Linked DNA regions of Saccharomyces cerevisiae S288C. Changing the gene in region 1 together with any one later gene gives a genetic interaction. Each region holds a gene or a part of one and is shown on either strand. Other genes may lie near its edges.

What was found.
Region 2: mutations in RGC1 (region 1) and PAU12 together harm fitness more than expected from each alone (negative genetic interaction), as found in Saccharomyces cerevisiae (2 studies listed by BioGRID).

Annotation. Positions count from the first base shown.
Region 1 is NC_001148.4:753,325-771,057, reverse strand, and holds RGC1 (Rgc1p), read right to left. Parts: upstream 16,182-17,733; coding exon 12,930-16,181; downstream 1-12,929. Other genes in the region: S-methyl-5-thioribose-1-phosphate isomerase MRI1, read right to left, coding at 2,071-3,306; HOB2 (Hob2p), read right to left, coding at 3,564-11,033; RRG8 (Rrg8p), read right to left, coding at 11,577-12,410; ALE2 (Ale2p), read right to left, coding at 16,810-17,733. UniProt on the Saccharomyces cerevisiae protein: Positive regulator of FPS1 glycerol channel required for the glycerol efflux.
Region 2 is NC_001139.9:1,072,170-1,087,395, reverse strand, and holds PAU12 (seripauperin PAU12), read right to left. Parts: upstream 7,091-15,226; coding exon 6,728-7,090; downstream 1-6,727. Other genes in the region: YRF1-3 (Y' element ATP-dependent helicase protein 1 copy 3), read right to left, coding at 1-2,365, 2,514-2,532; COS6 (Cos6p), read left to right, coding at 4,667-5,812; alpha-glucosidase MAL12, read right to left, coding at 9,043-10,797; MAL11 (alpha-glucoside permease), read left to right, coding at 11,583-13,433.

The DNA.
Region 1 (17,733 bases):
GCTAGCTGTAACGAGTTTGCTATTTCCTCGAGGGACAGGCACCGAAGTTCATCCATATCGCGAACTTCGTTGTTGACCTTTTCCTGATTCGGTCGCTATATTTACAAATCTCCTTTTTTGATTAGTGCCTTGAACTTGCACTTTCCTAAACGGGCTCAATATGTAAACATATTATACAAATAGTTACCCGCATTTGGAATAAAATCTGTCTTTTGGCGGCTATTTCCGCGTGTTTGATTAGAAGGAGTAGTGGTCATTCTAATAATTCCACTGTGCTAATGCACTCGCACTTAATTTTTAAACTTCCGATGCATCAACACTAATGATCATAGCATAAAACGCGTAGAAGGCGATCTTAAGTTTGAGTCCCCCTAAGGCACCTTAGTAGACGGTCAAGAACAGGGTGTGAATATGGGCGATATTCAAGCGAGATTAGGACTTATAAAACAACAACAACAGGGATAACAAAACACTTGACCCCTATTTTTGTAATAAAACCGTTTTCAAGGTAAGGCAGTTAGTAATTTATGTACAACAGAAATTTCTGCCATTTCTTTCACGACAATAACGTAGGATAAGGCCATGAAAAACAAAAATACTAAAGTGCTTATCTAATAAAAGGAAAGGATTAAGCAGTTCCTGCCCATATTTTGGAAAGGCCGTAGCTTAGTTTCCCTGAAATTTACTTCAAGAAAGGTCTGCTTAGCAGTCACATATGTCAATTGTGGGCTGTTTAGTCAAAACCACTTGGAGGTTGATGAATTGATAGTATTTTGGTAAATGAACTAAATATACATTATCAATAAGACGTTGGAGGGGCTTTCTGTATAAATTCACCGAACACTCCCAAATTATGATAAACTTGCTTAAGCATCTTTTCGAAATGCAGTGCATGTGTTAAGTGACAAGCTAAAGGTAAGACATTACGATAATACTCTGTATAGATCGTAGTAACATGAATTATGAAGCATATAAAAATAATATGAAATGTTCATCGAATTTAATAAGTATAAATGCATGAAGATAATAATTCAATAAGATAGATAAACAAAAACGCATGAAGAGAACTTGTAGAACAATAAGCATATATCACCACTCCACTTTTTCTGAAAATTGTGTAGAAATGTAAATTCTGTGATGTTCGTTATGATTCAGTTTCTGTTTCTCAATCTCTATGTCATACTCTTACGCTATATGATAACACACTAGTAGTAGGAAAACTGGTCAAGAGATGATTGTTGTTTCTTTTCCCAACTCATACACCCCAAACAAATGCCTTTATCAAAATCCGATCTCAACACTTATCTTAGTTTACACATTTATCAAATAAGGTTGGCAATGTACCTTTTTCGGAAGGTAAACATCAAATATTTATAGAAATATTTATTAAGGACGCTCTGTTGTATTACGGGCTCGAGTAATACCGGAGTGTCTTGACAATCCTAATATAAACAGTCTTAGGGAAGTAACCAGTTGTTAAAACAGTTTATCAGATTAATTCACGGAATGTTACTTATCTTATATACTATATAAAATATGAATCATACTAAGTGGTGGAAACGCGGAATCTCGGATCTAAACTAATTGTTCAGGCATTTATACTTTTGGGTAGTTCAGCTAGGGAAGGACGGGTTTTGTCTCATGTTGTTCGTTTTGTTATAAGGTTGTTTCATATGTGTTTTATGAACGTTCAGGATGACGTATTGTCATACTGACATATCTCATTTTGAGATACAACACGCTCCGAAGAACTCATCCTTGTTAGCTCAGTTGGTAGAGCGTTCGGCTTTTAAGCGCATTTGCTTAAGCAAGGATACCGAAATGTCAGGGGTTCGAGCCCCCTATGAGGAGTTCTTTACTTTTTTGCACGTTTTACAAATATGCAGAAACAAAGACAATACATATTGTATCAGTTGGTTATAGTGTTTTGGACTTACAAGGTTCTGACAATATACATTAATGTGTTCCTTTTATTGAATGAAAAAAAAAAATAATTCTTACATCTCAATATGAAATTTTATCCTTTACAGTACAAAAGTAATTATTTCGAGAGTCTAATTAGAATGATATCTAGAAAAGGCTTTCCAGTTGAAATTCACCACTGGAATTTTTGGTAAATACACCTTCTTCTGTGATAATTCCGTCAATAAGCTCATGTGGAGTAATGTCGAAGGCTGGATTCCAGACATTGATTTCAAGAGGGGCAATACCGACCTTTCCAGTGATTGGCTCTCCTGACTCATTCAATATCAAGGAACCATTTTCAGGATTAATTACTGTACCAGTAACAACCTTGAATTCCTCAGGGTTACGTTCTTCCACAATAATGTCATCGCCAGTTTCGGTTACATTATCGATAGTTGTTTTGGGAGCTACTACAAAAAACTTAATTCCGAACTGCTTACAAATTACAGCAAGTTGTAAAGTACCAATTTTATTTGCTGTATCCCCATTACGAACAATTCTATCAGCTCCAACAAATGCTGCTTTGATTGGAATTGGACTAGTTCTAATTCTATACGCGATGGAACTATCAGTAATTAAAGTTGATGGAATCTTATCATAAACTAGCTCGTATGCTGTTAGCCTTGACCCTTGATTATAAGGTCTAGTTTCCAGTGGGAAGACATGGCCCATCCTCGGGCATTTTTCATTGTCCAATCCCGAGTCTGCCTTGTCGGTTTTAGCAAGTGAATCCTTCCACAAAGAACGGATAACACCTAAAGCCGTGCCATATCCAGAGGTTGCTAAGGATCCAGTATTACAAATCGTCAGAACGGCAAATTCGTCCTTGAAACCGTCCTTTTGTAACACGTCAATCAAATACTTAGCTCCATTATCACCCATTTTCATGTTATTCGCCAAATCCTCATCTATCAATTCACAGACGTAATTATATAAACTACCGTCAAAAGCCTTTAGGTCACTTGAGGATTTCAGTATGTTCTTTATCTCTACAAGAGAATTTGATAAATTAACGGCTGTGGGTCTACTACTCAAAAGGAAATCTAGCCTCTTATTTAGCACTGTTTTTGTAGATTCCCAGTTAACTAAAGAATACAGCGTAGCAACATCAGAAGTTGGGTTGTGTTTTATTAATTGTACCTCAGTCAAAACAGATAACGAACCCACAATTGCAATTGCCGGGGCACCTCTCACCTGCATACTTTTGATGACTGAGTACCCATCATCAATTGTGTGAATTGGAACGTATTTAGTAGTATATGGTAAAAGTAATTGATCAAGTACCTTTACCGAAACATTTTCTGGCTCCGATCTATCAAAGACGATGGCTTCCAACGACATTTTTTGTCAGCAGTTTGATAGATCACTTTGTCGGTCGTAGATATTGCTCTTAATCTTTTTATTCTAGCATGCTAAATTGATGAATGGGGAATACTTTGGCCGTGCGCCCCATCATCTCATCTTAGTAAGTGAAAAACCGGAAAAACTAACGCCAAGAAGGCCTGTAAAAAAAAAATCTTACTGATTTTCATTTTAGTATATAATACAATTACTATATAACTGAAGAATATTTACGCTAGACACATGTGTGTGTTTCCTCATTTATTTTTTGAAAACTCACTCGTAACAGGGTAAAATGGCTTTACTCCATTTCCATCATTTTCATTATACGTTTCATCTGAGTTTATTGATCTGATATCTGAAGAGTGCGTGGAGCTATAAAATGAATTATGCCCTTCGACTTCAAGGATATGTGAATTATCACGATTTTGAGAATCTGGACTTAGTAATCGATGTATTTCCATAGAAGTTTTTTTCTTATTCTCTTTTTTATGAGGCAAAAATTTGTTACCAATAATATTTCCCAAATGTTGTAAAACTATTCTTACGACGTCTCTTTTCAAAGCAGTAAAAAATTCTTCCCTCGACCACAGTTTGTTATGGTACTTTAAAACAGGGACTCTAACAATCAGGTTATTAACATCGGTCAAAAGGCTGTGTGAACCCTTATAACACACGGACATTAGAGTTTTTCGGATTATAATAGATTTTACATTGAAAAATGTCCCTGATCTTTTGACCATTTCATTGATGTTATAATCAGGTTGCACAAAAAGTGATGCTGACAATTTTCTATGATCACCCTTATGCTTTTTGATACCTTCTTTGCTCTGGATACTACGCAAGTCCCAAGAGTCAACGTCTTTCGCATCGTACACAGATAAAGAACCGTTAGAAAGACTGTGCCGTAAAACTGGAGACGATGAAAAGAAGGAACTAGTGGAAGAACGTGGTACAAGTTCTGGAGAATTGGGTTCTATGGAAGTTTGTTCTATCTTTGGAAATAGATAATTCATTAGTTTTTCCGATGTTTTGTGATCCATCTTGAAAATCAATGGCTGTAGAGAAACAATCAAATCTTGCAGATCTGAAATACCTCCAACTGATGGCCCCAGGATCCAAAAAATTTCTACCATTGGCGCGTTCTTATTATAGGATGAATTTTCATAAAAGGGGGCCAGCAATTCAGTGTAAACGGGATTTTCTTGCTGGTTGAAACATTGTAAGGAAGAAATGGATACTTTATTACTATTAGTGCCATCGGAAGTTTCTGAACGAATAAATGTAGAGGGCCCCAATCCGATAGTCACGAAAGGAGTTTTACTCTCATCGTACAATTCCCATATCAATTCATCTGTTCCAACTTGCCACCTCAATCTTTTCTGTATTACTCTATTACCACTCCCCATCCGGTCGTAAGTTTTCTTGATTGCCGTCATAAGTAACGTCAACTTCAACGTACTAGTTTGAATATCGAAGGTTAGCTCTTGTCCTGATTTCATAAACAATCTTGGCTCGTGAAGTTTGAGGTATGCTCGCGTATAATAGAGTTCCTTTATTCTTTCTTGTAATGCTGTGACAACAGAGACATCAAGATTTTCCAGGTTATTTCTGACCTCATCAGTAAATAATATCCTGGAAAGTTTCTCAACTTTTTCATCCAATGATGATCCAAAGGAAAGTAAATCTTCTGCGATTGCATATACAGCGCAGTATTGTTGACAGTCCGAGGTCAGAACCAATCCTGGAAATGCAATACGAAATCTCGAATCATAAGAGAATGCAGACGTATCATTTGCACTAAAAAATAGGGGATTGGGAGCGACGTAGGTCAAAAACATTGATCTCCGTTTTAGAAAAACATGCTTATCTAATAAAGACCCGTCAAAGCACATTTCAAGAGGAATCCATGGGGGCCATATATCTGACTCTTTGTCGGAACCATATCCATTTTTATGGAAAAATCTACCTTCAGGACCCTCTAAATCCTTTTTGAACAATGTAAACAACTGAATGTCCTTTGAAACAGCGGAATAGCGAGTTTCAACAATAGTATCGACGTCAACGGGAATTCTTTTTCCTGATTTTCCATACACTTGAACTATATCAATTATTCCCATTTCTATATCCCTAGCAGCTAAAATAACTGCTGCGTTCCTTTCAACGTCCGATTTGATCTGAACCTGAGGGGAGATTAGTCTAAAAAGATAATTATCAACATAATCAAAGTCATCACTCGGAACTTCTCTGATGAGTTTCTCAAAGTGCTCAATAAATTCTGAATTACTGGCTAAATCGTCCTCAAGTATTGAACCATAATCTTCTACAGATGTTCTGACCCCAGTCAACACATTTCCCAGTAATTCTTTTAAAATAGTTACGGATTTATAAGTCACAGCAAACCTCATAGATTTCCTTTCGAAAGCACTGGAAGCGTATTCCAAAAGGTGATGCCTGATTTTATTATCGATTTTTAACTCGATATTATGGACCATGAAACGGTTATCATAGGTGGACTCAACCTGCATAGTAGAGGCTTTTCTCATTGATACAAAAGACTCCACGGTATTGGTCCTCAATAGCGATATTCTATTTTGAATTGGCGGTGCATTTTCCAAATTTACATCAGTATCGGAGAGTGAGCTGGAGCTATCACCATCAGTATTTCCTCCAGGAATAGTCTCCGAGATTTTTAAATCGCTCAAGATGGTGTTGACTGTGTGCAATCTGTGGTTTAATTCAGCTACCTCTGCTTTTAATTCGCGTGCATAGCGCTCCGAATTTCCACTTACCGAACCTCCGCCTTTGTTCGATTGCAATTCGCTTAACGTAATATGTAATAATTTTAGTTGTTCTTCTATTTCTCGTTTTCTTTCAGTTGCTAATTTCTCCTGCGTCAATTCTGGATGATTCTTGCCAATCAGACAATTGTGAGATTCTTCGGTACCAAATGGGTAAGCTAGTACGTAACCATCATCATTTATTTTTCTAAAGTAGGATATTCTAGGAGAGTATAGCAATGGTATTGCTTCTAATTTTAATGGAAGTGAGGAACCAAGCGGCACTTGATTCAAGTCTATATAATCCTCATAATCATACCAATCTGATTCACGCAAGTATTCCACATCTTGAGGCGTAATAGGACGTGATGGCTCGTCTTCAAGTATGCCATCGAGTCCAGAAGTAAGAATTTCCTTAACTGCTTCCTGATCAAACAGAGTTGATAATATCCTAATATCTGCTTCTGCACAATCAATCTCACCCCTAGACATCTTAAACTTCCATACAGGTTTTGACTTATTTAATTTTTGGTTCGTATGGGTCAGTTTAACTCTTTTTTGATGCAAATCAATTTTCAGTGAATCAAACCTCCCTTTCAATCCAGTAAAAGTTATTTTGCGGTCTTTTTCAAGATCATATTGAGTAGTAATATGCCGATAAATATGCGTAACCATTAGCCGTTTTAAATGTAGCTGATAAGCTATTGTAAATAATGAGCGACCAAACTTTGTCTTGTTTTGAAGTACATCCGTAAATAACCGTCCTTGCCTAATAGGACCAGATGTATATGTATGAAATAAATTCCACCACTTAAAGAAATGTGTTAAAGCGTAAGGTGCGAGATAGAGACTATTTATGGATCCGTGCTCAGAAGAATAGACACCAAATGACATGTGGATAAAAGATGTTCTAAATCCTTTGTATGTATCATGGTGATCCAAATCTGCGACTCCATCTGGATTCATCAGCTGTATTTCATAATGTGGCCTATTTGGAAGGAACCTCTCTTCGTCACCAGCCTTAGATATATCGCCTTGTTCAAAAAGTAAACCTAATGTCCAAATTACTCTTCCATCGAGCTTCATAAAGACTTTATCAAATTTACTAACTTTGGCAAAGTCTGGCACTGCCAACTGAAACCTTTGGGATTCAATTTTTAAAAACTCTTTAGGATCCGTGGAGTTATGAACGTAAATTGTGGTGCCACCAGACCAGCAGAACGCCAGACCCGCACCATCATCTGTAATCTTATAAGGATCATGTGAACCTTTAATATTTAAGTGGATCTCACTTTCCTCTGAAAACTCGTATATCCACTTCCCATGCACTAAATATCTGAATTTGTCCCAAAATCCTAGCTTTTTGGACGGATCGATGAGAGGTTTGGTTAAAAAATCAAACCAAAGCATCAAAGACTCATAACCGGGTTGCAGAGATTTCCCCCATGTTATTCTGGCAGATGAAGAAGATGTAACCATTGACCTAATATTGAAATATGTTTTGACTGAATTAATTGTACGAATGATGTGCAAACCATATATTGTATTGGCGTCATTATAGGGGCTTCTTTGGGCAGAGCTGACAAAAGGAACATAAACAGTATGAAGCGCGCAAGGTGCTGGCATCTTTTCAGCAAATACAACATCACCTGTTGTAAATGTGTCGGGAAATGATATAGCAGGTATTGGATAATCTCTCAGACGCAACTCCCATAACGCGCTTTTGATTTTGAGGCCAAGAATAATTAGCAAAGTGTACTCCGTAGATTTTGGAACTTTTTTTCCATACTGGTAAACAAAATCCATATAATTGTCTAAAGGGAAGGAAGGACTGCCTAGTTTAAAATCCAAATCTTTTACGACGAGGTTAGCAACAGTACTGGTTTTCTGTCTAGTAAACAAGTGGTATTTCGTACCAAGCTCTTCACGGCTGATAACCCGATAAGGCATACCATAAAAAGAAAGTTTTGCTTTCCTGTATCTGGCAATCCATGACGTTGAAAAGTTTTCTAACAACCTGAGATAGGCCTTTTGCTCATATTCTTGATCATTCGCATAAAACTCTGGGAAAAAACTTTGTCCACGGGAGGTATCATAGAGCGACCTTAAACGTACATTCATGTCCTCATATGTTGATAGCTTTTCCTTGAACTCTTCAAGCTTCTTTAACCTCTCACGTTGTTCCAAAACACCAACTTTCAAAATTAATCCTAACTCCTGCTCAAAAGGATCTTCTTCAATATCAATTAGAAAATCCTGGCAACAAATATGTAAATTTGGAACTTTTTTCGGAAACTGTTGCTGAGGGTATAATCGCTTAAATTCATTCAAATTGGAAAATGCCAATTTAATTTGCTTAAACGATTTATACAACGTGACTATGTTATCCGTTATCATGTAAAATCTAAAATGATATTCGGCATGAAAATGAATCAATGAGGTGTTTATAACAGCGGATTTCTTGCAGATCAACTCTTCAGTGTCTAGCTCAAAGTCATTAATATTTAGCAAGGAAACATAAACCTTAATATGCTTCACATAAACCGATACCACGTACGCTGACAAAGATGCAATTGTAAGATTTTTAGTGGAACTTGAAAGTCCAATCCTCTCGAATATTAGGAGTACCTCTGTATTATGAGGAAGCGTTAGCTCTATAATCATCTTTCCTATATCTACTCTTAATCTATCGAGAACATTGACAGATTTTACACTGCTCACTGAATTTCGGCTCAATTTTGAATTAGGACGAAATTTTATCCATATACTCCGAATATAAAACCACAACCAGATAATATTTACATCCATCTTAAATTTAATCTTGGGAAGTGAAAAATGAATTTCATCTGAGTCGTTAAAACTCAATAACAAATTGGTAAATTGAATAATAACCTCAGGAGAGGGCTTATACGTAGTGCCATCCATGAAACGATATACGGATGCATCAATAATAGTGAAGTTTTTCTCCTGGCTGTCCGCTAACAATATTGATTCTGTAAAAACAACTTTGGCGCCTCTAGTTACGTCAGATAAGTTAAAATTCTCAGCTTCCACAGGATCCAAATTTTTCGGAAGAAACCCAGCGACCAGTAACGAACATGAAATATCCTTCATTCTAAGTTTCAATGACCAGTTAAATGTTTTCTTGGCTTCATTTAGGTCCCCCAATTTTCCACCATTCGCTTTATGAGCCGCATTCCTTTTTGTTCTGCTAGATATTAGCAAGTAAATTTTGTCAAAGGCGCGACTTAAAGTATGCAAAACTTCAATGTTCTCAAGACTAACGTACGAATGTCTTAGTGTAGACTGAACGATCAATTTAGAATTTGAAAATTCATCCAGAAATGTGTCTAATCTTTCAAAGCCACAGACTGGTATAGACACTGGGTTAGCGTCCTGCTCTGTTGGAATTCTCAGGTAAGAGAGTGATGTACCCACAATTTTAATATAGTTAGATAATTGATCAGATACTAGGGCTGTCTTCGCAAATGGCCAATCCGGACGTATTTGCATTACTTGTCCCTTTTTAGGAGTCATAGACAAGTTGTTACGGCTAAAGAGAGCATGTGTGCTGAAGACCTTAAACGTCACATTCTCCTCATCTGATATATGCAGCCTTGAAATAAAATTCGACATTAGTAGTTCAAAGTTAAAACTGGGCAATCGATCAATATCTAAATCTAAAATATTTAATGATCTGTCGTTTGTGTTAGTACATGATGAGGTCTCAGGGCTATCGAATTTGTCCACTAAATGAAGAACTTCCAGTACTTGATGTATAGTGAGGAATACTGAAGGATTTATAATGTTCAAAATGGAAGATACCTTCGTTCTCCGTAAAGGTACATTGTCAAGTAAAAATAGTAAAATATCTGACGTCAGTATGACATTTCCAAATGGAATTCTAACTGCTGTATTACCATCGATATCTACTACAACAGCATTTGCAGAAAGTGATAGTTCAAAATCGCCCCATGTGGGCTTATTTAAGGGTAAAAGTTCCAAAGCGGAGACATTATTTAGAATGGAGATTGATTCCAAGTAAAGTTGAGCACTTGATATGCGAATTGTAAACTTTTTTTTGTAAATCAACTTTACATTTTCTACCTTAAGGTCCAGAATGTTCAAAGTTTTCAGTGGGTAGTGAAAAGGCTTTAGCATCTTACGATATGAAGTGAGCATTTCCGCATCATCACCAGCAGAAAAAGGCTCAACAGGCTCCGAATGCAAATTCTTCCCTTTCTTCTCTGGAAGATGCCAACAAACATCACTTATTTTGAGACTTGATTTCCAATTTTTTAGTATAACTTTTGTGCAGTTGCTGCCTGTATCATCTTCCTTTCCAATTTTACAGACCATAAAAAAACCAGTATGGTTCAAAGTATCTTTCGTTTCAGGATGGGTAAAATCATGCAAAAATGCCTCTAACTTTATGGTATCATCGTGTGGGTGTGATATCGTTATGGATCCGATATTTAATTTATATTGTTTTCCATTAGGCACTGTAAGAGCTAAAGTATGAAAGAAAGTGGAAAATGAGAACACAAGTTTCAAAATTGATAGGACTCGCCTGTTAATTACAAAGGTAAAAGTTTGATCCCGCGGATTGAAATATGTTCTGGAGTCTTTAGTTGAATGTGCAGTGATATGGCTGTCCTTCCCAAATAACTTCAAATCAACATTATGAAACACAATTCCGGGTTTCCAACCTATTCGCAAGGTTATCTTGCCAATATATATTTGAGCAAAATCAGTTAAGATAAACGCTCGTCTTATTGACGTACCAAAAAAGTATCCAAATGAAATTTTTCGTATTGTGGAATGGCGCAGCATCAATATCCATGACATGAGAATACTAGCGATTTTCTGAATTGATATAATAAAAAGCATAAAGCCTAATAATAGTTTAGACACATCCCTTATTTGAGACCACGGTAACATAGACATTGTAGATTTTTTTTCTTGCAATAAACAGGATACTCCAGCTACTAGATATTATGGATGACAAGCCTACTCGAGAAATTGATCAGCAAAACTAAATTGAATGCTTAGCTTTTAAATGTAAGCCTTTTCGTGGGAAAAAGTGTATGATTTAGTTTTCAAAGAAGTACCTTCTATAATGGTAAATTATTGGTTGTGCTCTTGAATATAATGCATGTGTATGCCCTTGAAGTTTTTAATACAAAGCCACTAGTGCAAACAAATCAACAAATCTATTTACCCTTAATGTTCCTCTTTATCAATCATACAGCCTTGCAGATGGATGGTAAGTGATGGACTATAGAACACCTCAGAGATATTTTACGTAGATGTGCGGGATTAAGGGTTCTGAATTCTCCTGCCCGAGGCGCCCAAATTTTTCATTTTCGGATTGCAAAATGATGCCATTCGCTGACAGCCAGTTTTGTATTCATTGAATAAGAATAATGGCAAATTCAGAGAGACAATTCCAGCGATATATCCCGCTTTCCTTCCTTTTTTCTTCCGCAATCAGTTAACTGAATGAAACAATAATGTACTATAAAGGTGTTTGATGAGATCCTTGTCATTGTCGGCATCCAGGTAAATTCCATTAGTAACTGCATCTTTACTCACGATAGCTTCTAGAGTTGGCTCGTGGAGATAACCAAGGTTAAAGACAGACTGTGTAATTGGTAGCCCTTTACCATGACTAACTACTTGTATTTCAATCGGGGGTGTTTTTCTCTTGTCACAAATGAGTAAAACACGATTTATCGAAGAAGGTCCAACATTCGGTATCACTGAAAGTCTTGCTTTTATAAATGCGTGCAAGTTAGCATTGTATTCCGTTATAAATGTAGAGGAATCAACTTCTAGGCTCTTTGGAGTTGATGTTTGCAATACCGAGATTGGGAACCATGACGTCGCAGCCGCCAAGTTGTCTTGTACAATGGAGGCTGAATTCAATACGTACGAGCTTTTGTATGATTTGGAATAATCTAGTGTAGGTACCAGTTTTAGTTTATCTTTATCAGCATGCTGATCTTTGCCAGTTGATGGTACCACTTTCAATGGAATTAGTAATTCTCTACACGATTTTAATTTTGAGATTTTTTCTGCTCTCATTGGAGAAGCTAAAAGCCTACCATATAAGTTATTTTTTAAATTGAAATTTTCCAAATGGAACTGCCCCACCATTTCCTCTTCATCTTTGAAATAGAGCTTCTTGCGCTTATCCGACCATTTCTCGAAGTTTGTAATGAGCGGAGAAACATCTTTGACTCGTTGGGCACAGTTTTTATTAATGACTCTCGTTGGACAATCTATGAGTAACTTCTTATATGCCGATTTAGGTAAACCCATATTTGATTTTGAGAGGTTCCCAGGAGAATTCACAACAAAATATTATTCGAAGGCTCCTATCGTCATCATGTACCGTGGCGCATTGCCAACCTGTCTTATAGAAAGGCCGATGTCGTAAGCGGACCGGAAAACTGGAGATGAACAGGCATTGCCAATCCTACCGCCACTGTAAAAAACAAGTAAGAAAAAGATAATTATGGACGCTGGCTTTCATTTTAAAATAACATCAAGTTCAGATGATACTTCTGAAAAATACCCAATCAGGAATCTATTTTTATTTGGTAGAAGACTACTTTGTTTACTTATAAAAACATGATAACTATCTAAGAATATATGAACTGATTGCGTTTAACTTAACTTTTCCATTTTGTCTTAATCTTCTTCGTTTCCGGTAGTTAATGGGTTTGTATTTTCAGCAGGAACATGACCCAGGACTTTCTTGTTGCTTATTACACTTATCAAGGAACCAAATGACATGCTCTTCATCTGTGCAGTCTTATTGGACAGGTTTTCATAGTGTCACTTACTTGACGCGGATGTAGCAGGTACAGTATTAGTACTTCCCTCCTTGCGCGAGTGAAGAGACTTATCATTCGATACAGTAGATGTTAGTGGGACGTTTTCCGCACTATATGTCTTTTTCAAACTGCTATAAGGAGCTTCAACACCTTTAGATGTAAGCGGTTCCTTCAACGTTAGACGTGATTGTGAGGCGCCCTTCTCATTGCCGTAGATCAATCGTGAGTCATTACCTTCTTTCCTTGGACCACATTGATGGGGAATATGACAAGCTGAACTTTTGCGAGAGCCACTGCAGTTTTGAGTTCTGTTTTCCTCGAACAATGGAGACTCCATCTCAAAAGGTGAAAGATCTGACCCTCGTCTTGCTTCCGAATTGCAATTCAATGGTATTCCAAAATATCCGTTTGCATTACCATCCAATGCTAGACAACTGGGTGAAACACCTGGTAAGTTCATTAATGGCGAAGGATAAAAATCAACCCGTTGGTTGTGAATGGATGCAACACTGGAGGCACGAGACGATTTATGACTACTATCTGAATACGCGCTTGCCGGAATAATGGCTTCATCCCCATGATTACTAACAGCTATTTGAGGTACCTCTCCGGGAGCCGATGCTTTTCGCGAAGAGGATGCCATTAAGTTATCTGCTGACCGGTTGTAAAGCATACCTTCCCCAGTATAAGGTGAATAAGGCGATTTGCAAGGGGTTCTAATTGTGTAACTCATACCATTTTGTGGAGCACTGTTTTTCGTTTCTCCCACTATGGCCAGATTACCATTTTCATCAATGGCTGGTGTATTGACTTTTGACCTGTATACGGAATTCATAGCGCCTGCATTCATATTTGCGCTTTTTGGGATGTCTATATAACGAGGACGATTTGCCCTCTTCCTAGTGTTTAACGTGGTAACAGAGGAAGATGGCGTTACTTTTTCAGAAAGGTTAACAAAACTGTCTACTGGAGTGATATATGTACTGTTTTTGGACCTTTGAGAGCTCTTTCCATTATTATGGTTTCTACTTTTCAGAATCTTTTCTTCAATGAAGTTCGACCTCTCCTGAGTAGAATTGAAACTTGTAAGCGCTTTTATGTCCTGAACCCATTTCTTGAAATTTTTTGATTCCTCTGGAGTTGGTTCAAGACTTGCGGAAAATATTTTAAACGTCCATTCAACGCGCTTCTCGCAAATTGACTTCTTATTGATGTTAGCTTCTTCTTTAGCCTTTTTTTGTTCCTTGGGCACGGAAGAACTCTTTAGAAATTTCGGAACGGACACCATCGAGAGAGCTGAAGGCGTACGTTGATGTTTGCCCTTATTTGAAGCAAGCGTCTTTGTTGGACATGCCAAATCTGAGGTCGTGCTTGATTCTTTTGTACATGTGTCCTCTGGTGAATGATAACTAGCATACCCTTGTAAAACAAAAGTTGAGTCAGTACTATCCTTTAATGAGCAATCATTTAAAGACAAACTAGAGATAGGATATAGATTCGAAGAACTCAAACCCTTTCTTCTCTTCGTCAGTTTCGGATCCTGTGTCCCTTTGCTCGATGGGTGACTGCCAGCGTTAGTCCCATCCTTATTCACACGGCTAATGTCTGATTGTTCAACAACAGGTTTATTTTTTGAACGGGGAGACTTGCTGTCTAGAAAGAAATCGCTGCTTTTGAATTCGTGAAGATAATTTGTAGTCAACACAAAATAACCTTTAGTAAAACTTTTAGAAGACTCTGTTTTCTTCAGTAGATATCCTACTCTAATGCATTTGGCCAGCGGCGATTTCATGTTAGGATAAACAATATCAGATAATCTTCTGGGTTGCGGTGGCGGGTCTGTCGATTTTAAATTCATCAGACAGGTAGGATGATGAGAGACAAAATTATCCCACTCTACAGCCGGTGGTCTAGATAGAATACCTTGCTGCAATTCATGGCACAAATTTTTGATCATTAATCGTGCTTCTGAATCAATTAACGCTGAGTAGCGCTGTAATGCGGATTGAATTTTAGAATATACTATTTTCTCCAGTTGTAGTGCTGCTGATTGTAAATTCAGAAAAGCTTCTCGAAGATAGTTTTCTTCGAGTAATTGTCTTTTCAGCTGCAAATCTAGTTGTAATTTCAAAAGGTATGGATCGTGTTTTGGTTTTAATTTTTCACCTTGCTTATCGCCCGAAGTGGATGCTTCATCTAATAACTTCACTGAAGCAATATATTTATTCAGAAGCCTGCTTGTTATTTTGATATGCTCGCCTATGTTAGTCTTGAAATCTCCATTTAATTCTTTAATTTCTTTCATCTTTGTGGTCAAATCCTTACGCAAGTCGGTCAATTTGGGTATAATATATGCCAAGATTTCCTTAGAGATCTTATATTGTTGACTACCCAAAGATAAATGGTACTTCTTCAAAATCACTTGAATATCTTGAATGGATCCTGACCCAAATTTCATGAAGCCAGAAGAAGCTGAAGCTACCTCTTCCGAAGGTACTGATTGGATTGACTGCGGCTGTTCCACATCTGTGTCGTACTTGCTGTCCAATTTTTGAGCGGCCAATGGGACAGGCTGAGGTTTCTTAGTAGGCAACTTAGATATACTTGGATCAACCAGTTTGTTTGTTTCATCTTCCAAATCAGTAAGAAAAGCAAATTTTACGGCATTTTTCATCTGGTAGTTGATCCTTGCAATTTGTTCCTGAGAGTAGGCAGCTTCTCTGAAGTAAGCGATCAAACTTTTCAAGATTTTCTTCCATTTGTGAAACCTATCAATCAAAATATCTGTCGGATACTCTCTAACAAACTCCCCGGAAGTTTCGTAAATGTTCTCCACATCTAAATCAGAAGGATCAGCCCTGTTAACCTTTTGTTTAGCCCTCGCCTTACCTTCACTCTTCGGCAATTTTTTAGGTATAGGCATGTTAATATAGTAGGGTGACCTTGGGTCTGTCTTGGGTAATATATACTCGTCAAGTTTTATGTCCTTATTCTCTTTGCCATCTGGCCCGTTCATTTGCGTATTTCCAGATGCTGGCTCATTTTTCAGCGTCAATGAATCAGGAATCATATCCATCAAGTACTGGGAGTCGGCGGAATACATAGATGCCAGTTCATCGCTACTACCACCAAATGAACGATAGTTCTTCGGTAACTCCAAATTTCTAGAAGAGCTCCGAGTTGAACCTGGTGTCGCAGGCTGCTTCGAGATACCGCCATTCTCCTGCTTAGGAAACGTGAAATAGTCAGACATCTATTAATCCACTTAATTATCTCTTGTTTTTCTTCTTTTAGCACACAAAGCCATAAAAAGTAGACTAGGATAAAGAAAACAGCTTTCTTTATGATTCTTCTCTCTTTACCTGTACCGCGCCGTATTTGGCTCAATTAACCACTCTCAAACCTTAACAAAAAAATCACAAAAGCTTCCGAAAGAATACCCAATAAGCCACAGCTACTTGGACATCAATCACGGTCAAACCAACATCATCCTCTATGTAGGAGGCTTTTCGCCTTTTTATTAAGCAATGGAAAATCAGCTTGCGCGAGAACGGCGTTATCCGCATATGAAACACCTCCCCCTAAATCTCGTGATTAGAGTTTCACGTTTCATCACATGAAAGTGTGGTAGTATAGTATAATTCTGGCAAAAGTAGCATTGAAAGTGTTCAGTAGTCCTGAAGGTGGCAGAATCGCTCAGTCTAGGTAAAATTAAAGAAGAAAATGTAGGCAAAGATCCTGCCCCCCCCCCACAAAAATTCGCCATGTATCAATATTGATTTATTGCCTGTAATTTTCTAGGTTTGTAATGCTCGCATAGCTTACACAAGTTTATAGTCTATATACACATATATGCACATGTTAAAGTGTGCCTCCATGGATTATTGTTCATTCTTAGTGACTTTGTCTACAGACTCCCCCTTCTTCAAGACCTTTGCAGCCACAGACACCATGGTAGAAAACCAAATAACATTCAAGATGTCCAGGACGAAATTGCCTGCAAGGATAACAATGGTGTCAAAGACTAAGAAACCAGGTTCATTGCGCACCTGGTAAAAGTCGTAACATAGTTTTCCAATTTGAAACCACCCCCAGGCGATTCTAGCGGCAAAGAAGACGACCATGAGCGTCAAATTGTTCAACAGCAGCAGTAGAGAGCAGAATTTGCTTTTCTGGGGTAGAAATTTGATACCGAACCATCTAAAGTTCAAGGAGGGATTGGAAAGTTCGAACATCAAGAACACTGGGGCGTAATATTGGATGTACGGTTTCAATCCGATGCAAAACACGACGGTGGAGATTATTCCGTGCACAACGAAGGGGAAAGTAGAATACATGGTGGAAATATAGATATCCCAGACGAAATAACCAATAGCAAAAATACAGATGACTTGAGTGTCTCGATTTTCTGTAAACACTCGAGAGTGTGAGGTTTGGTAGGGCTCGGCCGAGGCTTTTGGATCAAGCAAGAACTTCAATGAGTAGTACAGGACCACTATGCTTTGCAGTAGGGATATTAAGTGGACTGAACTTTGATTGATCAAAGAAGTGTACTTCTTTTTGTAATGTTGAGCTTGACGTTCCGAAGTTGTCTTCTCATCTTTCTTGACGTTATGTTTTTGGTCATAGTCCAATTTCCATTTAACCAAATGTGGGAATAAGATCCATTTGCCAAAAAGAAACCAAATATGGTAGAATATAGCAACATAAAAAATTGAGTGCAAGTTGGAGAGAATCGCTTCCGACTTGATTATATTGCGATTTGCCAAGAACGGAATCACCGTGGTCTTAAATAATTCCGGTTG
Region 2 (15,226 bases), on another chromosome or scaffold:
GAACAATGGTAGTCGCTTTCAAGGCCTAACCATTGAATCCAGCGCTCGGAAGCTCGTTCCTGCAATAAAGTGGCGGTCGTCCCACTGACACTAGTTAACGAAAAGGAATCCACACCGTAAATATTTCGCCCTGTTTGAACGGAATGATTGGCCATGAGTTCACTCGTCGCCGACTCGTACAAATCTGTTTCAAATCTGCTACCTACGCAGTGCCGTCCTAGGGCAATCAACCCCTGACGCATCTCCCGAAAATTCAGCTTCTGAGGTGCATTCTTCGGAAGTTCCCTCATGTACTGCCGAAAAGTTGCGTATTCAACCAGACAGCCCTTCGCGGTATTCAGAAACATGTAGGAATACAAAACTATCCTCGAAATGTCTCGATTTGTTACTTGATCTGGATCCTCAAATCCCACCACATCCATCCAAGGATCATGATTAAAAGCGTCATAACTGTTACCAAGCGCACATATTTGCATTTGCCTTAGCACAGTGACAAAATAAAACACGTAATCTGAAGTGAGTCCGTCAAGCGTCTTAAGTCGAGGCTCCGATGAACCGTTCTTGTTGTAATCAGTGTACAGTTGGATGCGTCTTGTTGTATCATCGACGTATACGTTGCGCTGAGGACCGGCAAAAGCGAGTAGCTGAAGCTCTGGATAACGGTAAGGGTATCCTACGGCAAAATGGATCATCCACATAAGTGGCACCGTAAGCTCGTCAATTGCAACAGTGACTTTATTTTTAAGAGCCGCGGTCATTTTGTTAGTATCTCTTCTCAACTTGGGCAGCACAATTTCACGATATTTAACAGGTATCATTTGAAGGAAAGAATCGTTCTCCAGATACTCGTCAATTCCTCGCTTTGGCTCTCTGAACAAAACTTCTCGATTACGCAAAATGAGGCTGGCAATATCAACCACTGTAGGCATATAAAAGCAGTCGTTCAATTCTTCCCAAAGGTTATCAAACTGAGCCTTGCATGCAAAGTAAAAGCCGCGGACATACTCGCGATTAAACAGTTTTCCACATACTGATACACCATCAGAAGAAGGTACCAAAGTTATTCTATAAGAGTCCTTCAGCGCGGTTTCCTGCGCTACTTCGTGGTACAGAATTTTGATCCATTTCCACATCGCAACGCCGTTGTTGTCATCAAATATATCTAAATCCCTTGCGGTACAAGCACAAGACGACACCAATAAAGCTTTCACGGCATCTAGTGTTTTTCTGAGTCTTCGTGGAGTGTTAGGACTGCGCAACTTACATACTTTCAAGCCATGCTCGTCCACAGAGGGAATAATGGGTTCTTCATTCGTAATGGATCGATCCTCTTCGTCACCAGCGCCACCACGGGGACCCGCCCCGAAATTGAGCGCACATGCTCGCAAGATAATATGCAAAATATCACCCAATCGGTCCTTTTTGTTCATCATATCGTTACATATCTGTGAAAAGTACTTTATCTCAGTGGGTTTACGTGGGCATAGATCACGCTTCAGCCGCTCTGTGTCGACTTTCTTTTCGCCAGGTAAACTTGCTTGGTATGCAGAAAAAATCGATAGCTCATCTACGTGTAGTAACAAAAACATGTAGGGTGCCAAATTGTATCCATATTTCCTTATGGTGCTTTTCTGAAGACCCCTTACAATAGGTGTGCCAGAAACAAAGTCAGTGAAAGTACGCATCGTAGAGCTGTCGTTCGGCCTGGCACTCGCTATTTCGTAACAACGTTCCAGGACACGGAAACTCAACTCATTATAGTATCCTCTGTTGAGGTAAAAAAGAGAAAGGGTATCGTAATCCTTTCTATTGAATTTCAAAGTATGCACTTGAAACAACGTGTAGACCATCAAGTTGATTTTCTTGGGAATAAGATACTTTGAAGGGATTGGTCCGCCCTGGAAATCTGGTTCGTCTTCAACAAACGTCAGGAACTTTTGTACATTTTTCCCGACCATGACGGAAACGACAATTTTTTCAAAAGACCTTTTCCTATCCATTGCACCAGTTCTGAATTTTACCACTTTGATTAGACCAGACTTTTCGTCTTCGTAGAATGACCGCACTTCCGTGGGGATCGATTCAAATAAAGTTATTGAGGGACAATGTACCAAGTCGTTTTTGTTATTTAGAGCCGACTCAAACTCGTCAAAGTTTGCTTTTTCAAACTTACGCCTATCGGAAACTTTCATTTTATTTTTGTAAGTTTCGAAATTAACAATAGTATGTTGATTGTTATGCTTTTTGACAAGAAATCCATCAATATAAACAAAAGATTGTCCAGTTTCCGTCTTATCATCATCTAAGAATGTAATAATTAAGCTATTGAGAAGATGCAGAATCTGCGCTATGCAGGTGCAAATCTCTAGCAGCAGCAAAGTAAATTCAGTTAGTAAGAAATCTCACTAAGATAAGCGACTGTCTGTCCCCTTCAAGCACAACATAGAAAGCAGAAGGATGTCTCATTCATCGCTTGATTTCCGGCCTGCAAAAATAAAGTAGTCGGTACGTACGTTCGTTTTCAATTTCCATGGTGCACAGTATCTTAACTATCTGCTTAGTCGAGGAGAACCAGGATTCTGTTCGTTGCTCAGCCGCTTCGTGGATATTCTCTTGGATACTTTAAATATGGACCTACGCTTAGCCTGCGCTTAGCCTACAACTTCTTCCGCTCTCGAAAAGACCAATATAATAGAAAGTTATAAATTACATTTCCTTATTAGGTATACGACCTCGCGCTTCGAAGTAGAGGAGCCCTTTTTGGCGTACCTACATATGGCGCGTCAGACAGACAAACTTCCCCCAAAAATGTATTACCCCGCCGAATAAGAAAACAGACCCATTCACCCACGACGTATCAAGTTACTTCCTTGGTGCAATGTCCCACTATAAAAAAATTCCTTGACGCTAGATCGTTGGACTAAAATCTGCGTCACAATCGCCTAAACAGGAAATATTGCCTATTTTCGTACAAGGTTACTTCCTAGATGCTATATGTCCCTACGGCCTTGTCTAACACCATCCAGCATGCAATACAGTGACATATATATGATTTAACCTGTCTCTCAACTTACCCTCCATTACCCTACCTCCCCACAAGTTACCCTGTCTCATTCAACTATACCACACCCCAACCACCATCCATCTCTCTACTTACTACCACTCACCCACATCCACCACCTGTTACCCTCCAATTGCCCATATTCAACTCCACTACCACTTACCCTGCCATTACCCTACCATGCCCCATCTTGTTACTCACTATACTGTTGTTCTACCCAACATATTGAAATGTTAACAAATGATCGTAAATAATACACACATACTTACCCTGCCACTCTAATCCCACCACCACATGCCACACTCACCCTCACTTGTATACTGATACGGCATACGCACACGGATGCTACAGTATATACCATCTCAAGTTACCCTACTCTCACACTCCACTCCATGGCCCATTCTCACTAAATCAGTACTAGATGCACTCACATCATTATGCACGGCGCTTGCCTCAGCGTTCTATACCCTGTGCCATTTACCCATAAATCCCATGATTATCCACATTTTAATATCTATATCTCATTCGGCGGCCCCAAATATTGTATAAATGCCCTTAATACATATGTTGTACCACTTTTGCACCATATACTAACCACTCAATTTATATGCACTTATGTCAATATTACATAAAAATATCATCAAAATCACCTAAACATAAAAATATTCTACTTTTCAACAATAATACATAAACACACTCAATTGCGTATCTATACCACCATGACGTCATTAACTTAAATGTTCCTTAATATCGTCATACCATTATGATCTATTCAATATATTGTAATATAACTGCACTCTATAGTCATACAGATACTTTTACTTCACCCTATCTTCTCATACTATTGTCATAGAATCTCATACTGACACATGATTAAAACGAATAACTTTTACTATAAGGCCTGCCATCCGCGCTCTATCCTTTTGTTTGAAATATTTATATACAGAATCTCAAAACAAGCGGGAGAAGTAGTAATTACCCAGAGGTCATGCATGATCTTAGCACCACCGTACCTCTATGTTTTGCTTTGATCCGCTTTACAGTGACACCAAACATAAGGAGGGAAAATGGTATTGAAATGATGTTGAAAGGTTGTTCACATTCGCAAGTAAATTGGTTCTATGAATCTTCATGTAAGATACTCGTAGGACAGGCTCTTTCCTGTGTAAATATTTGTGACAGCTACATCTAATTTCTATTAGATATTTACACAGTTTTGTCACAGGCATTCCATGTGATAATGAAATTCTCGAGCCATATGGCGGTTGTTGTAAAAGTAGTGACATTGCTGGTCGCACCTTAAATGTAAACCAAAGTTACGGCACACTCTCACAGTACCCGCACTAAAGTTTTATAAAAGTACTATTACGATTATCGAGTGAGCTAGATAGAAAATCGGAAATGAAATGGATGCCCTTTTCGAATAGTAAAGTTTCTGTGCCTAAAATAGCTCAACATTGTTGCCCTTTTTCTATCCCGAGGTTACTGAGCCATTGCATGAACGCGCGCGCCTCGACGGCTTTTTTTTCTGCTATATAAAAGCGAAAAGCCAGAAGTTATTATTTTGAATAAAAAACCCCTCGAACTGCCATCTCACTACCGAAAATGAAAGAGAATGAACTTAAAAATGAGAAGAGTGTAGATGTATTATCCGTCAAACAGCTCGAATCCCAAAAGACTGTTCTACCTCAAGATCTTTTCAGAAGCAGCTTTACCTGGTTTTGTTATGAAATTTACAAGTCCTTAGTGTTTCGCATCTGGATGCTATTATGGCTACCACTTAGCGTCTGGTGGAAACTTTCCAACAATTGGATTTACCCGCTTATGGTTTCACTTCTTGTCCTGTTTTGGGGACCAGTATTTGTTCTTGTTATTTTTAGACTTTCTCGTAAACGTTCCTTATCGAAACAACTCACTCAGTTTTGCAAAGAGATTACTAAAAACACACCAAGTTCGGATCCTCATGATTGGGAAGTCGTTGCAGCAAATCTAAATTCGTACTTCTATGAAAATAAGGCTTGGAATACCAAGTACTTTTTTTTCAGTGCCATGAGCTGCCAAGAAGCATTCAGAACAACCCTTCTCGAACCCTTCTCTTTGAAAAAAGACGAAGCTGCCAAGGTTAAGTCATTTAAGGATTCCGTCCCTTACATTGAAGAAGCATTGGAAGTTTATTTTACAGAAGTTGAAAAACAATGGAAGTTGTTTAATTCTGAGAAATCATGGAGCCCTGTTGGCCTGGAAGATGCTAAACTTCCCAAGGAAGCTTACCGATTTAAGCTTACCTGGGTTCTCAAAAGGATTTTCAACCGGCGGTGTTTACCACTCTTCCTTTTTTATTTGCATAATGTCTTCATTTCACGAAATGATGGCACTATAGCACGTCCCTTGTTTCTTGTGGTGCTGTTTTTTATCATGACGAGAGATTTCCGGAATATGAGGATGATCGTTTTATCCGTGAAAATGGAACACAAGATGCAGTTTTTATCGACTATTATAAATGAGCAAGAAAGTGGTGCAAATGGATGGGACGAAATTGCAAAGAAAATGAATAGGTACTTGTTTGAGAAAAAAGTCTGGAAGAATGAAGAGTTTTTCTTTGACGGGATTGACTGTGAATGGTTTTTTAGCCACTTCTTCTACCGCGTTCTCTCTGCAAAGAAATCTATGCGGGCTCTATCATTGAATGTGGAACTATGGCCATATATTAAAGAAGCGCAATTATCCTGCAGTGAGGAGTCCTTAGCGTAAAGATAAATACAACTTTTTCAATTTATATATTTTGTAGTTTGTCAGCTGCGAATAACCAAAACGAGACTACTTTTTACCATTACAACCATTTTCTTTTTCCCTATTTCTCACTGGTTGACAGAAATCAGTGTGCCACCATCCTACCATATGCGCAAAACTTATTGTCTTTCTCCTCCCAGTGATGCTATATTCCATGCATATTCTGAACGATGGGTTGGTGCTTTTATCAAGCAAGGTTAATCACATGGCGTGGCTTGCTCCACGCATCAGTAGAAAACGCATACCGCAGCGGAATCCTTAAATAATAAGTGATTTTACTGTACATCGACTAGAATCGGACTCTTTCACAAATTACCCTTCTTATTTTCCACATTTATTGTTAATCAAGGGATATACAAAAGCTTATGAAAGCCTTTACCGAACACTAAATAGAAACCCTCCTGCCACGAAAAACTTCAAGATCGATAACTTTAATCTTAAAAATTTGACACATTTGAAGGCGACGACTCCGGGCCGATCGATGCCCTGAAAAAAAAAAAAAAAATAAAGGCGACCTCGTTTAAGGTGAATATGGAAGAAAATGGTTATATAATTGCTTGAACATTTGTCGTTATATATTAACAATAGCATCAACCGGTTTACTAGCAAGTGATCCTAAAATATGATTTTTTCAACATAGATATTGATGACCCATGTCGTTGAAGTGGACACACATCGAAGAATACCACAAAAGGAAGAGAGGATTCTTGTCCTTGCTCCGCCAAGTTGTTCATAAATATCACGATTGACCAGTAGTAACAATATTAATATACACTTACATATAATGAACTATTTATACTATCAAAAAAAAAAAGCTTTTTTTATTTTCGTTATTTCTTAAGGTTTATGGAATTTCGTTCGTAAAGGCGTTTGTCTCTAGTTTGCGATAGTGTAGATACCGTCCTTGGATAGAGCACTGGAGATGGCTGGCTTTAATCTGCTGGAGTACCATGGAACACCGGTGATCATTCTGGTCACTTGGTCTGGGGCAATACCAGTCAACATGGTGGTGAAGTCACCGTAGTTGAAAACGGCTTCAGCGATTTCAACTGGGTAGGTTTCAGTTGGATGAGCGGCTTGGAAAGAGTAGTATTGGGCCAAGTGAGCTCTGATATCAGAGACGTAGACACCCAATTCAACCAAGTTGACTCTTTCGTCAGATTGAGCTAGAGTGGTGGTTGCGGAAGCAGTAGCAGCGATGGCGGCAACACCAGCAGCGATTGAAGTTAGTTTGACCATTGTATTTGTTTTGTTTTTTAGTGCTGATGTAAGCTTAACAAGAAATAGTGAAATGAAAGCGCATACCTCAAAGATGGATAGCTACAGCAGCTCTATTTATATGAATGTCTTGCCAACTTCCCTGGCACAAACGAGTTATCATCTGGCACCCATCTCTCACCTAAAATGCCTCAGTGTACAATGTTCATCCCACATTCATTATTCATATTATTACGGTGCTTCTGTACTTGAACGATGCGTCTTTCATAGGTCCCGTATACGAGGCGCACGCTTCATAGTGCCTATACCTTTTTATTGCATTTCCAAGGCACAAGAATGTTTTCTCACAGTGTACATACTTCCGAAGAATCCCTTTAGGGTGCCTTCAGAGATGCAGCTGCAGCTTTTGGCCAAGAAAAAGCTAAAACCAAATTTGCTTTGAACCCTCGTTCAGAGGCCATCTAATCTTTGTGCGCTAAACGGTTGCTACGGGAAAATTGTAGATTCTGTTTTTCTTAAAATAGAAAGTGAAAGACTTATCGAATACCGGAGTCGTATATTGTAGGTGTCTACAGTCTTATACACTGCCAGCAAAAATGTTGACAAGAATAAATGAGCATTCGAGGTGCTACGAAGCTCTAGTTCTGAAACAGCGGAACTTCCACTGGACAAAGCTGACCATAGCGGAAACTATACCGGAAATTGATAAGTTAACATCTTAATAAGTATTGTATAATTTTTTTTGTAATACTAATAATCGGAGAACAGCATCAGCGCTTCGTATGGTAGGCAACGGTTGCCGCCTAGGTCTACGTTTTTCTATTCATTATATGGTACATGAAGGAGACAAAAAGTGGCGGATTACATACAGAACTTCTATCCTATGGATGTACCTGCAGTCTTTCTGTTTGGATGAAATTGATAGAGGGCTTAGTGTTACTAATACAGAAATCCTTTAAGCCTTTTTCTCCCTTTTATTCACTGTTTCAATATGTCTATCATTCTGGTCATGTGTTTTTCTTCGAGGAATTTACAACTATTACAGCGATAAGTAATCATACGTATCCAGATTATAGGCCCGTTGCTGAAGAATTACTACACTTCTCTGGTATATAGTTATAGCTCAATAACTAATGGTATAGGAGACACAGATTTTAGTAGTCAAACTTCTCAAAGGATAAGACCGTCATTCCACCTCTCATCTTCACTTCATTGGCTTTTAGATATTGATTGTGGGGTGTTAATGTTGTGGAGTTACTGAAGTAGCAAGAATCTTATGCGCTTATTTTCTTTTGCTTAATAACACTGTCTAAAGCAGAGGAATTATGGACAGATGATTGGTTTAGTTCATCTGAAGGCTAGACAATAAAAGGCGGGTTCGGAAGGGGGTAGGCATGCTCAGACTTGACGTAAACGCATAAGCCGGCAATGTTGAATCGATTTTGTAACTCGCCTGAGTGTTACGTGAGATTACATATAGGATCGAACTATCACGAAATCAATTACGCTGTGTTATTGAATCATAAAATCACAGAGCTTCCCGAGAAAACGCTAAATTATGTGTCAAGTACTGCGGACATCTCTTAACGCTATCTTATATTCATTTCACTTTTTATATCTAGTCCTTTTCTTTTCTTTATTAAATAAAACTACCACCTTGTATGATTCTTAGCAAGACATTTCAGCATTAATACCAGCACAGGTTTCTTCTCCCTTGTTTTCATCCGAAGAGAAAGGATAGTGCTTCTTATGCCTCATTAATAATTTGGAATTCACATTTATATACACGCTAAATATCATAATGAACGAGGGTCATGTAGAAAAACACATTTACCCATAATGGTGAAACAAATTATCAACAGTGCTTTTACGCTATCATCATTTACATATAAAAAATTTATCTAACAAAAATCATGTGAAAAATCATGTGTTATTTCGTTAAAGTACGCGCTAAAAAAAAGCCGGCACTAATTTTATTTGACGAGGTAGATTCTACCTTCCCATGGTTTCAAAACTCTGGAGGAAACGTCAGTATCATCATAATTTCCAAGAATAAAAGATAAAGAAGCACCTTCTCTTGGGAGGCTGAATTCAATTTCTTCGCCACTGAAATTTAAAGCAGCAAACAGCGTCTTGTCTTCGTACTCTTTAGTGAAGCTAAAGATCTGGTCACTGTCTAAATCAATGAATTGGAAATCGTAACCATAAATCATAAGTTCCTTATATTTCTTTCTGGCTTGCAAGGCCCTTTTCCAAAAATTGAGAACTGAGTCATCATCTCTGGATTCCTGCTCAACATTGATTCCTTGCTCGAAAGATTCATTCAAGAGAAACCAAGGTTTAACATCTGGGCCAGTAAATCCAGCATTGGGCTTATCTTTCGTCCATGGCATGGGAGTTCTCGAATGATCTCTAGAAAGTAGGGCGATTCCTTTAAAAAAATCCTTCATTTCCTTCGAGTTTTTACCAAAACTTTTTTTGATAATCTCGTAGTTGTTTTTCACATCAACGTCCTCATACTTTTCAATAGGCCATTCCTTGAAATTGATCTGGCCTATCTCCTGACCTTGATAGACATACAACGTACCTGTCAATGAACATTCTAGCAATGTTAACAGCTTACCAGATATTTTACGGTACTTTGGCGAATCGTCAGCAAATCTCGTAATTGACCGGGCTTGATCGTGATTCTCGATGTAGGTGGTAGCCCAACTATCAGTACCGTTAATGAACAAAAAGTTCGATGCAATGGCTTCTTTCCATTGTTTCAAGGTGAAGGGCACTATGTTATAACGGAAAAATGGCGAGGTACCAACTTCAACGTGCGTGAAGGAGAAAACTTCGCTGACTTCGTATCTAGCTGCACTGGTGTATAAAGCATTATCACTTCCATGGGCAACTTCACCGACTGTCATTATTTCTCTACCATCTTTCACCCTGTTTTTCATAAATCTGTGTAGTTCTTGATGATATTCATGAATCCTAGGACCATTGTGAGACCCCCAATTTGGATGTTGTAATTTCGAGGTTTTGTCAAAAATTGGGGAATCTGGTAAACCAGGACGTTTCGAATACAAACCAGCGGTATCGATTCTAAAACCATCTACACCATGGTCCAGCCAAAATCCAACAGCACTTTCAAAGATTGCCCTTCTGCAGTCTTCATTCTCCCAATTCAAGTCAACTTGACGACTCGCAAACAAACGGAGGTAAAATTCATTTGTAGTTTCATCAAAAGTCCAAGCTGAACCACCAAAGAAAGATTTCCAATTGTTTGGAGGAATTGGCTTGCCTTCGGCGTCATAACCCTTAGGAGGTCTCCAGAAGAACCAGTCACGCTTCGGATTGGTCTTCGAGGATCTGCTCTCTTTGAACCATTCGTGTTCTGTAGAACAGTGGTTGATAACCAAATCGGTGATGAATTTCATACCCAGCTTATGAGTCTTGTCAATTAGCTCAAAACAGTCCTCATTGGTACCATATGTGGGCCAGACCTTTTCGTAGTTGGATATATCATACCCCATATCTTGTTGAGGAGAGTCATAAAACGGACAAACCCAAATAGCATCAACGCCAAGATCTTTAATATACTGCAACTTGGAAGTGATACCTTTTAAATCACCCCAGCCATCGTTATTGGAGTCTTTAAAACTTGCTGGGTAAATTTGATAGATTGTGGCCTCTTTCCACCACTTTGGTTCTGTTTCTGGATGATCAGAAATAGTCATTTATGTAATTTAGTTACGCTTGACTGATGTACATTTGAGATTATCAAAAAAACTGCTTAAGAGATGGATGATTTAATTTTTTAGAGACGTATTAATGGAACTTTTTATACCTTGCCCAGAGCGCCTCAAGAAAATGATGCTGCAAGAAGAATTGAGGAAGGAACTATTCATCTTACGTTGTTTGTATCATCCCACGATCCAAATCATGTTACCTACGTTAGGTACGCTAGGAACTAAAAAAAGAAAAGAAAAGTATGCGTTATCACTCTTCGAGCCAATTCTTAATTGTGTGGGGTCCGCGAAAATTTCCGGATAAATCCTGTAAACTTTAACTTAAACCCCGTGTTTAGCGAAATTTTCAACGAAGCGCGCAATAAGGAGAAATATTATCTAAAAGCGAGAGTTTAAGCGAGTTGCAAGAATCTCTACGGTACAGATGCAACTTACTATAGCCAAGGTCTATTCGTATTACTATGGCAGCGAAAGGAGCTTTAAGGTTTTAATTACCCCATAGCCATAGATTCTACTCGGTCTATCTATCATGTAACACTCCGTTGATGCGTACTAGAAAATGACAACGTACCGGGCTTGAGGGACATACAGAGACAATTACAGTAATCAAGAGTGTACCCAACTTTAACGAACTCAGTAAAAAATAAGGAATGTCGACATCTTAATTTTTTATATAAAGCGGTTTGGTATTGATTGTTTGAAGAATTTTCGGGTTGGTGTTTCTTTCTGATGCTACATAGAAGAACATCAAACAACTAAAAAAATAGTATAATATGAAAAATATCATTTCATTGGTAAGCAAGAAGAAGGCTGCCTCAAAAAATGAGGATAAAAACATTTCTGAGTCTTCAAGAGATATTGTAAACCAACAGGAGGTTTTCAATACTGAAGATTTTGAAGAAGGGAAAAAGGATAGTGCCTTTGAGCTAGACCACTTAGAGTTCACCACCAATTCAGCCCAGTTAGGAGATTCTGACGAAGATAACGAGAATGTGATTAATGAGATGAACGCTACTGATGATGCAAATGAAGCTAACAGCGAGGAAAAAAGCATGACTTTGAAGCAGGCGTTGCTAAAATATCCAAAAGCAGCCCTGTGGTCCATATTAGTGTCTACTACCCTGGTTATGGAAGGTTATGATACCGCACTACTGAGCGCACTGTATGCCCTGCCAGTTTTTCAGAGAAAATTCGGTACTTTGAACGGGGAGGGTTCTTACGAAATTACTTCCCAATGGCAGATTGGTTTAAACATGTGTGTCCTTTGTGGTGAGATGATTGGTTTGCAAATCACGACTTATATGGTTGAATTTATGGGGAATCGTTATACGATGATTACAGCACTTGGTTTGTTAACTGCTTATATCTTTATCCTCTACTACTGTAAAAGTTTAGCTATGATTGCTGTGGGACAAATTCTCTCAGCTATACCATGGGGTTGTTTCCAAAGTTTGGCTGTTACTTATGCTTCGGAAGTTTGCCCTTTAGCATTAAGATATTACATGACCAGTTACTCCAACATTTGTTGGTTATTTGGTCAAATCTTCGCCTCTGGTATTATGAAAAACTCACAAGAGAATTTAGGGAACTCCGACTTGGGCTATAAATTGCCATTTGCTTTACAATGGATTTGGCCTGCTCCTTTAATGATCGGTATCTTTTTCGCTCCTGAGTCGCCCTGGTGGTTGGTGAGAAAGGATAGGGTCGCTGAGGCAAGAAAATCTTTAAGCAGAATTTTGAGTGGTAAAGGCGCCGAGAAGGACATTCAAGTTGATCTTACTTTAAAGCAGATTGAATTGACTATTGAAAAAGAAAGACTTTTAGCATCTAAATCAGGATCATTCTTTAATTGTTTCAAGGGAGTTAATGGAAGAAGAACGAGACTTGCATGTTTAACTTGGGTAGCTCAAAATAGTAGCGGTGCCGTTTTACTTGGTTACTCGACATATTTTTTTGAAAGAGCAGGTATGGCCACCGACAAGGCGTTTACTTTTTCTCTAATTCAGTACTGTCTTGGGTTAGCGGGTACACTTTGCTCCTGGGTAATATCTGGCCGTGTTGGTAGATGGACAATACTGACCTATGGTCTTGCATTTCAAATGGTCTGCTTATTTATTATTGGTGGAATGGGTTTTGGTTCTGGAAGCAGCGCTAGTAATGGTGCCGGTGGTTTATTGCTGGCTTTATCATTCTTTTACAATGCTGGTATCGGTGCAGTTGTTTACTGTATCGTTGCTGAAATTCCATCAGCGGAGTTGAGAACTAAGACTATAGTGCTGGCCCGTATTTGCTACAATCTCATGGCCGTTATTAACGCTATATTAACGCCCTATATGCTAAACGTGAGCGATTGGAACTGGGGTGCCAAAACTGGTCTATACTGGGGTGGTTTCACAGCAGTCACTTTAGCTTGGGTCATCATCGATCTGCCTGAGACAACTGGTAGAACCTTCAGTGAAATTAATGAACTTTTCAACCAAGGGGTTCCTGCCAGAAAATTTGCATCTACTGTGGTTGATCCATTCGGAAAGGGAAAAACTCAACATGATTCGCTAGCTGATGAGAGTATCAGTCAGTCCTCAAGCATAAAACAGCGAGAATTAAATGCAGCTGATAAATGTTAAGTAAAAGGGTTGTTTTTTTTTTTTTGGAAGAAATAAGGAATCCCTTTGACTGCTCCCAAAACCCTCAGCTAGCTCGAGATTTTATATATATACATTTTTTATTTTTCTGTAAAACATTCATATTTACCATTTTTTAAGCAAAATATTGTTAGTAGTTAGTTAAAATAGCCCAAGCAGCAATCAAGCAAATATGAGAGTACTTTTTCTTTAGCACCTGGTACTTGTGCCTGGATATTGATTCGAACAACATGCCAGGTCAACCGTATTCTCAATTAACTGTTACTTTAAATGTCCATACACTTAATAAAAAGAAGGAGAGAATCACGCAAAAATCACATTAAACTATATTATAATGTTTTATGAAGTATTTTTGAAGCATTAATGTGAGAGCTTATAGAGATACGACATTCATAATTCAATGCTTTATTGGGATATACTATGCATATTCTATATGGTTCATGAAATATCTCAAAACATATCACATAGTTTCACAATCGCTTGGCAAATAATTTTCCAATTCTGAGGATATAAACAACCATTTCAAAGAATTATTCTTTCTTGGTGACATGAAAATAATAATAAATTGCATTTGATATACAAAAGCGATTAGTAAAAAAAATCAAACCCATGTGGTCGTCATCCTCACAAACAATTAGGTAAATTTCGTGTTAGCAGTATGTGGTGAAGGTGTTCTAATTAGAAATTGTGATTCAAAAATCTATCACTTTGAATTTGAATATAATGGAATTGTTTTATAAATATTACCTAATTAGCCGCCACTGATATGGCTTCTTTGATCTATTTTTCAGTATAAAGTCAAACAAGATTTCAAAAAACCGGAGGAAGAATATGGGAAATCTACTAGTGTACAAGTTCGTCAAGTTTTCAATGGTCTGACAGTCCTCGTCTGCCTTGCGAGAGGTTATAAAGTCGTTAGTCTTCATGTGGCGTATTACTTTTCTTCAGTAGATATTGTTATTATTACTAAGAATAGAGATATATATTGCATTATTGTGAAAAACATCGCTTCTTTTCTAATTTCCCCGCGTCAAGGGCTACGTGTTTTCTGTGAGATGTAAACCATATATCTAAAACAAGTATCATCGCGCTTCTTTTATTTGTAGTATTTTTTCTTCGGTTTTCACTGAGGAGCCTGCCCAAGGCGAGGTGCAGTGTTCTTTCTACGGACTTTTTAGGAAGGAAATGAATTAAGCTACGCAGAAAGGACATCTCTTTTCCAAAGTTCTAGACATTTCAGCCTTCATAGTTCCTAGAGATATGTCCGTATCTAGTAACTATTATAGTTAAATTTAGATCGGATTCTTTTAATGTTATGTTCTGCCATAAAAATGTTGCTTTAAATGGCAAACATAAATGACAATAATATCTTGCCTCCTAAAATTAACTGGCATTTATCTATCTTCTCTGTATTGAATAAGCGAATGGTGATTCACTCAAATATCCAAATCCCAGAGGTAGCAACATGGTAGCAAAAAGTACCGCCCCTTTCTTATCAATGCTGAATACACCATTTCTAAGTAATATTATCAACAAACCATAGCACTTATCTGCACTCAGCTGTTGTATTTCACTTGTTCCTCTGCCCTTCAACTAGTGCTCCATTATAACGGTCGAGCAATACTTCATATCATTCATTTGAGCGTCAGTGCTGACGAAAGTATGATTTCATTAGCTACAATGTGGAAATATAATACTTCTCAAACACTGAAAAATTTCAAAACTTTATTATACAGTTCTTCAACAATAGTATGAGGTAATTACATGGCACTAAG